Linked DNA regions of Elephas maximus indicus. The protein of the gene in region 1 purifies or fractionates together with the protein of each later gene. This does not show direct contact. Links are inferred from orthologs where the notes say so. Each region holds a gene or a part of one and is shown on either strand. Other genes may lie near its edges.

Evidence for each region. The genes of interacting proteins can lie anywhere in the genome.
Region 2: the proteins of EZH1 (region 1) and PHF1 purify together in Homo sapiens (affinity purification with mass spectrometry; 5 studies listed by BioGRID and IntAct, with this or other methods). This does not show direct contact. The link is inferred for Elephas maximus indicus from reciprocal best matches to the Homo sapiens genes EZH1 and PHF1.

What each region holds. Positions count from the first base shown.
Region 1 is NC_064837.1:49,590,157-49,593,899, reverse strand, and holds the start of EZH1 (histone-lysine N-methyltransferase EZH1), read left to right. Parts: upstream 1-842; 5' UTR 843-926; intron 927-3,743.
Region 2 is NC_064819.1:96,235,295-96,239,037, reverse strand, and holds the start of PHF1 (PHD finger protein 1), read right to left. Parts: upstream 2,896-3,743; 5' UTR 2,375-2,895; intron 1,665-2,374; 5' UTR 1,647-1,664; coding exon 1,488-1,646; intron 1,398-1,487; coding exon 1,316-1,397; intron 1,205-1,315; coding exon 1,109-1,204; intron 666-1,108; coding exon 562-665; intron 435-561; coding exon 286-434; intron 104-285; coding exon 8-103; intron 1-7. UniProt on the Homo sapiens protein: Polycomb group (PcG) that specifically binds histone H3 trimethylated at 'Lys-36' (H3K36me3) and recruits the PRC2 complex. Involved in DNA damage response and is recruited at double-strand breaks (DSBs).

The sequences.
Region 1 (3,743 bases):
ATATCAACAATTTTCCCACTACTGTTCTTTTTCTGGGCCAGGGTTCAATCCAGGGTCACAAATTACCTTTTGTTGTCATGTCTCCTTAGTCTCCCTCAATCTGGGACAGTCTCTTGTCCTTTCTTTCTTTCATGACCTTGTCACTTTTGAACAGTGCTGGTCAGTTGTTTTGTAGATTACTCCTCAATTTGAGTTTGAGTGTTTCCTCATGATTAAAGTCAGGTTATGCATTTTTGGCAAGAACACTACAGAAGTGATTTTGTACCCTTCTCAGTGCTTCATACTGGAAGGTACCTGATAAGAATAAGTCTCAACATTGGTAATGTTAACTTTGATCATTTAGTTAAGGTGGTGTCTGCTAGGTTTCTCCCCTGTAAAGTTACTATTTTTTTCTCCTTTTTAACTAATAGGGATCTTGTAAGGAGATAATTTGATATAATACTAAATTTTTAAATTTAGGTGACTGGGAAAACTATTTGCATAAATAGGTAAGTCAGGTGTAAACAAAGCAACAGGGTAGTTTAGAGCTTATAGAGTAACTTAGAACTTCATAGGTAGGTGTGAAGCGGTCAGTACGAAGAGGCTCCAGGTTGGCTTCAAATGTCGAAGTGAGACATAGCTGTCACCAAAGTGTGGGGATGGTGGAACCCTTGGATAAGGTCAAGACTCAGAAAGAGATCCACAGAGCCCTTCCTCTGCCTGACAGGGCCGCCTTGGAAATCGTAGCGCTCGCGCCGCACCACCCTGGGTTCCGGACTCCCGACTACTGGCGCCAAAGGGCAAACTTGCGAAGGAAACCCTGGCGGCCGGGTCGCCGGCCCAACGCGCACGCGCCGGGAGGAGGCGTGAGGCGGGGCCGCGGCGCGGGGGCGGGGCCGAGGCGCGCAGGCGCGCTGGCGGCGGGTCCCTGCGGCTCAGGATGGAGGGTGAGTGAGTAAACAAGCCGGGACCGGGCGGTGGGGCCGGGCCTCCCCGCTTCGTCGCCCCCAGCCTGAGGCGGGGAGAGGCGAAGGGATCGGGGAATTGGGAAGAAGCGGAGAGATACACTGCCTGCCTAGGCGGGGTGCCGGGGCGCCCCCTCCCCGCTCCGAGGGCTGCGGGAAAAGGGGCGATGGGATGAGGGAGCCCCAGGCGAGGAGGCGTCTGAGGCGGGGAGGGTGGCGTGTCCGGGAGGAGGAGCGGCGGGGGCGGGCCCGGGACGGGGAATCCCGTTGGAGGGCCGGGTGGGCCGGGTGGGCGGGAGTCCCAGCTCGGAGCCGGCGCGGGTGGGCGGGGGCGCCTGCGGGGCCCTTAGCGCGGGGTCGTCTCCTGGGGACCTGGGGCTGTGCACGACGAGGGCCAGTGACAGGGGTTCAGCTTGCGATGGCTTTGGGGGGTCATGGCAGTAAAAGGAAGGGGTGGCAGTAATAGCAGGACCATGAGTAGGATGAGGAGTGAGGCGCCTAAGGCGCAGGATTAAGGGGCGCTCACTCTCAGGGTCGTGCAAGTGCAGGGTGAGTGCCTGAGAACGCCCCACTTGCTTCACCCTTGTCCCAGCCTGGAGGAAGAGGCTGCCTCCCCCTCGAATGATCACATTCGTCAATCCCTGCCCACCCCCGGGGTTTTTCTAAGGATCAAATGATAAGTGAAAGCTCCTTGAAGCAAAGGCAAAGTGTATTTGTGACGTGCCAGTTAGGAAATGTGGGACAAATTTTTATTGTGGTAAAAAGTTACTACTGAGGAATTGCCCCGGGGGCAGCGAGGGGAAGTGGTACAAGGATGTTAATGTCGCTGGTGGAATACTGTGGGTGGTCTTTTGAAAGGTGAAATATAAGATTGTAACTGGAGTAGCCTGGGTATTTTTGTTTAGCAGCTAGAGGGGTTGAGGATGAGGGTAAAGAGCCTAAGTAGACAAACGGTTGTAAGCAAGGATGGCGTTGAAAGTGAGTGTCTTCCTCCACGTTTGCTGCCATGTCTTTGAAGAGAAAAATCCTCTCACCCCGTGCTTTTGAGCTAAGGGAGGCGGTATTCAATGAAGTTTCCAGCCTGAAAATTTGCTAACTCGACCAGGGGTTTCTGAGAGAGCTTGTCTATTTTAAGCTTTGGAATCCCCCAGGGCTGGGATGGTGTGACATTGATACAAGAGATTACTTAGTTACACAGAAGAATGTGTGCTGTGAAATCCACTTTTTTTTTTTTTTACACATTTGTAATAGAGGAAAAGACCATCTATAAAAAGTAATAAAGCTGTTATTGTTAGAGTTTATGCAGAGTGGGCGTATCACAGTGTGAATTAACTCCCTGAGGGCAGGGGTGTTTGTTTTATTCACTGATATGCCCCAAGCACCTAAGACAGTGCCAGGCACATACTAGGTACTCAGTACATATTTTTGAATGAATAAATAGTAGAAAGTTTGGCGGGGGGGGGGGGGGGTGGTGGGAACGGAGGCACCAGGGGACTGAGACTGGGAGCTAGGAGATTTGGACCCTGCCTGTTGCTATATGGCAGAGCTGTTGTAGGCCAGTCATGAAACTTGATGCTAAGGCATGGCTTCAAAACTCCCTGAAGTGTAAATGACCTCTTTGATGTAATGACTACTTTAGTGTCCATTAAAACAGTGCTAGAATAAAGGAGTCTGGAATTAAAAATGAAATTTTATCCTCTAGAAGACTTTTGAGAAAGGGAAAGTTAAGAAAATGTAGTCAAACTTATTTCTCTTATACTTGTCTTTGAATTGGCATGCTTAAAAAAATATATCGAAAATGTTAATTCTGTCTATTTAATTCTTGGGATCTGAAACCTGGGCTTCTTAGTCCTGTGGGCAACAGTTGGTTCCAGTGATTTGTGCATAATATGAAACATGTAACAATTCATTTAGTTGTTCCGCCCCCTCTTCCCCCTCCCTCAGTCTTAGACTAAGTTTAAAAGTTTCTTTCTACTTAGTTCACTAGCAACTTCCCAAAAAAAGGTTTGAGGCAGCAACATTAAAAACACATTATATTTCTACATGGGAAAGTTAACTAAAGATAAACAAACAAACAAACAAAAACCAAACCCAGTGCCATGGAGTCGATTCCGACTCATAGCGACCCTAAGAGAAGAAAAAAACAAAAACCTCTATTCCAGAAAGCTTCCAATGCTTTTCTTTCTTCTTTGTTCAAACTAGGTATTGGGTTCCTAACTATCTCTTTATAACTTGATCAGCAGTTGGGACTTCAGTGCCCCAAATCTTAATGTCAGGAGTTACTTAATGGGTAGTTGGAGTTTTGGTGGCATACTAGTTAAGACCAAAAGGTCGGCAGTTCAACTCCACCAGGTGCTCCTTGTAAATCCTGTGGGACAGTTTTACTGTGTCCTATGGGGTGGCTATCAGTTGGAATTGACTTGATGGCAATTTTTTTTTTTTTTGATGTTTGATGTGTTCTGTTCTCTGATACACATGCCCTAATACTTTGATTCAAAATGAACACATTAAAAAGTCTTGTTTTTATTGGATGATAATGAGCAGTCACTGAATATTAAGCTTTGTGCTGGTGCAGTACAGAACCAGTCAAGGAGATTGCTTTGTTAACTAACTCTTCTGAATCAGCATTGTCCATCCTACATGGCAGCGTTTTCCTTTTGGTCTCATAAGAATTAATCCTGCTTTGATTTTTATCACCATTGTCTCTGATGCAGTTGACCTGATTCCCTTAATGAAACAACAATAGAAAATACTAATGCTGTAATATTATTTTCAATGAGAATGCAGGGTCACAGGCTT
Region 2 (3,743 bases), on another chromosome or scaffold:
GTCTCACCTGTCGCCATAGAGGAGGGGCTTGCTCAGACACTGGGTACAGGCCTCATGGAACCACTGCAGGCAGCTCCGGCACTGCAGCATTTTCAGGTTCCACCTGAAGGGAACAAAAGACTAGTGTCCTCCAGACACCCCCCCCCACCATAACCGTCTCAAACCCTGTTTGTCACCTACTCCCATTCCCTTCAGCACTCCCCTCCCCCATTCTTTCTACTACATTCCCTGGGATGCCCTCCCCTTTGTCAGTCATTCCTTAGGCCCCTACCCCTCATTACTCACTCCCCAGGGCCGCCACAATAACAGTAGCTCTGCTGCCGATTGCTCTGATGTCCAGCATCCCAGTCTAGTCCCTTTAGTCCATATGGCAGAGAGAGCTTCATGCCCAGCATGGCCCGGGCATAGGGCCCCTTCTTCAGGGCACCCCCCCTCTGCAGAGACAGAACAGGCAGGAGGTCTCAGACCGGTGGGGAGAGGAGAGGCGTGGGAGAGTCTGTGGATGGGGGAGTTCCCACAGAAAGGGCCAGTTCAGTAGGGGTAACAGGGAGGTACCTTTACCTTGGTGGCAATGGCAAAGACACACTGGCGGCAGACCCAGGGAGATGGACCCTCTCCCTCTCCAGGGGCTGGCGCCCTCGGAACGTGGCAGTCCTGGTGATAAGCTGAATAATGATAATGTTGACAATAGACCACTTATTATAGTGCAGACCTGTGTTAGGCACCTGGATAGGATTAGTCTTATCCATTTCAATCTTTGTCTGTGGTCCTGCTGGAGGGGAGGGGTAGTTATTATCCTTATTTTACAGGTGAGGGAACTGAGGCTCCTAGAGGTTAAGGGACTTGTCCAAGGTCATATGACTGTAGAAGAGAGTGTACTTAAACCACCTTCTACCTGCAAAGTCCACACCATCCCCCATTCCATGGCTGCCTCTCCCTGGGTTGGAACAGGGGAAGGTTACAGGGTTGAGGAGACTGGTCAGAGTAGTGACCCGGGGACTGAAGTGACCTGGGGACTCAGACTGGACAGGTAGCATAAGGATGGGTATAGGAGAAAGGGCGAAAGGCAGCCTGGAAGGCTCATGGCAAGCTGGACCAGCCTTCTCACCATGGCGACACTTCTCACAGCTGACCAGCCTGTTCCCAGGGACCACAGTCTCAGAGCGACAAACACAGCAGAGGAGTTCCTCCCCAGGGAGGGCAGCTGTGAGGGAACACAGTGTCAGGGGGCCAGCCTAAGCCTCCTCCTGCCCACCCACCCAAACCAGGTTTCTGTTTCCATGGGATGCACACTCTCAGGCCTCTAAGGTCTCACCAGGGCTAATGTCTTTCCATAAAACCAGAAACTGGGAATCATCCTCAAATTGGACCAGACACACTTCCCGAGCACTGTCCACCTGGAAAGGTGAGCACAGAGGATAAAATGGGAGCCAGAAAATATAAGGGGAATGGAAAGAAGGTGACAGCTCAGAGATCAAAACTCTTACCTTCTTGATGGTCCCCAAGTATAGCAGCCCATCAGTCCATCTGGCCAACACATCTTGACCCTCCCAGAGTCGAGGTCTGGTGCCTGAGGTGGGAGCAGGGGAAGCTGGGTCCCAAAGCGAGGAGGCACCAGAGCGGCTCAGCCGGGGGGGCTGCGCCATTGCATCCTGGGGGGGGGGCTAGCCAGGAATAGGACAGGAGAAGGTTATGAATGCTGAGAATCCTTACCCATTTTTGCCTATTTTTCTGTCCTGAGTTCAAGCAGCTTCGCCCTCAAGTTTAAATCCCTGAGACACCTGGGGCACCAGCTTCCTGACTCCAGCCCTCTCAACTCTGGTGCCTTGCTCTCCTCTCCCTAACACCTCTCCTCACTCCACAACCTCATTCACTAGTTGCCCAGTTTTTAGAGCTCCCCTGGGATATTATACCCTGGCCTTAAAATTTTAGGGGAAACGATGGTCGCAGACGCAAAGATTATTCAGTTACTGTCACCTTCCCCATGCTGTTTAGAGGTGTCATAATTGGGGTGCTCTGTTGTCCAGAAATGTTTTTGGGGAGCTTTCCTCGAGATGTTTTTCAGAGCTTCTCAGAAACGGTTGCCTCCCCAGGCCCTCGTGTCTCATTCAGAACAATCACTCTGGTGCCGGGTTATGTCAGGTCACTCTCAAATTCGGGGCTCCCTGCCCCCGGGTTAGATAACTTCCCTGAGTGCCCCCAGAGGGGGCGTGTCCCATCCCGGTCTCTACTCCCCACGACCGGCGAGTCCGAGAGAGGACTTGAGTCGGCCTGGCCAACCCGATACCCAGGCGGTGTGGGCTCTCCCGCCCGCGCCCTGCGCGCCGACCCCCGGCTCCCTGCCCCCCACCGGCGCCTCTCGCCGCCTCTTTACCGGTGACAGCTGGGGCCGCCGGGAGCCGGGCAGGAGCAGCCGTGGGAGATCAAGGCGAGCCCCTCGCGCGGGGAGGGCACGTCCGGGCGTCGGAGGGCGTGCAGGCAAAGGCCGGGGGGTCCCCAGGCCCAGCCCCTCCGTCCCGGCAGCTCTGGGGCGTATGACGCAGCAGCCAAAGCAGCGGCAGCGGCAGGAGGAGGCGGCGGGGGGAAGGAGGGGAGGGACGGACCGACTAGGGGGAGGGTGGTGGGAGGGGAGGGCCGGGGGGAAGGAGGAGCCGGGGGGGCGGGCACCACCTCACCCCACCTCCCTCACCTCTAGCAAGCCTGGAGGGCGCTGAACGCATGGCGACCCCTTCGCAGCTGGGTCGGGCGGACAGTCGGACCCGGAGGGAGAGGGAATCCCCACAGCCCCTTCCTCTGACGGGAGACCCGCCCTCGGGGCAGGAGGGAATCCCCCCTCCCGGCAGTCTGCCTCGGGTCTGGCGCCAGGCCCCATGCCACATCCATTAACTGTCCCCCCCCCGGACATGGTCACTCAAAGTCCCGCCCCTCTGACCCTAGTCATGGCCCCGCCCACCACTCACCCTTCCCCTTGCCCTCGCCACGCCCTCCCCCTTGAGTGCCCCGCCCTCCTCTCGCCGTAGCCCTCGGCCCCGCCCTCTCCAAGGCAAGTTGTCCCCCCCCCGCCGCGCTTCTGCGCACGCGTGGCCCCTCCCGCGTGCGGCACCTGGGAAGACTGAGCCCCTCCTTTACGGGGCGGTGGCCGTTGGCTGTTGGCGCGAGGGATTCGGCGGGCGCGCGCTCCCGCTTCCCCTGTATGTCCCGCCCCGGGCTTTGAGGGCTAGTGCAAGGACGAGGAGAGATAATACCAGTGACGTCACGGAGAGTCAGCCAATGAACGGGCACAGGGCAGAACCCTGGCGATTCGAACAGGAAGGCAGGGAAAGGGCGGGAAGAGCCAGCAGTTTGCCCAGTGCACGCCTAGTCCCCGCCCCTCGATTCCTGTTCCCACATCCACCAAAGGAGTTTTTCTCCCAGGGGTTGGGGTAGCTGATGGTGTGGGTGAAACGGTGGGGGTGACCATGACGGGGCTGTGGGGTAGCTAGTAGGCGCACCTCCTTGATATTTATGATGGGGGAGGGGACGTTAGGTGAGAGAGAGATGGGCCAGACCAGGGTACAGAACCACAAAGAACTGAAGGTCCCCTTCAGACTCCAGCGGGAGACCTGTCCGAGAGAAAAACTGCAGCCCTCACCCCACAAGACACACACACTTGGCAGAGTGGACAGATCCACAGTTCCCATCCTTAGATGTATGAAAAATAGCTCCCTCCTTGGGTATCTGCTAATAAAACCTTTATTTTTTTT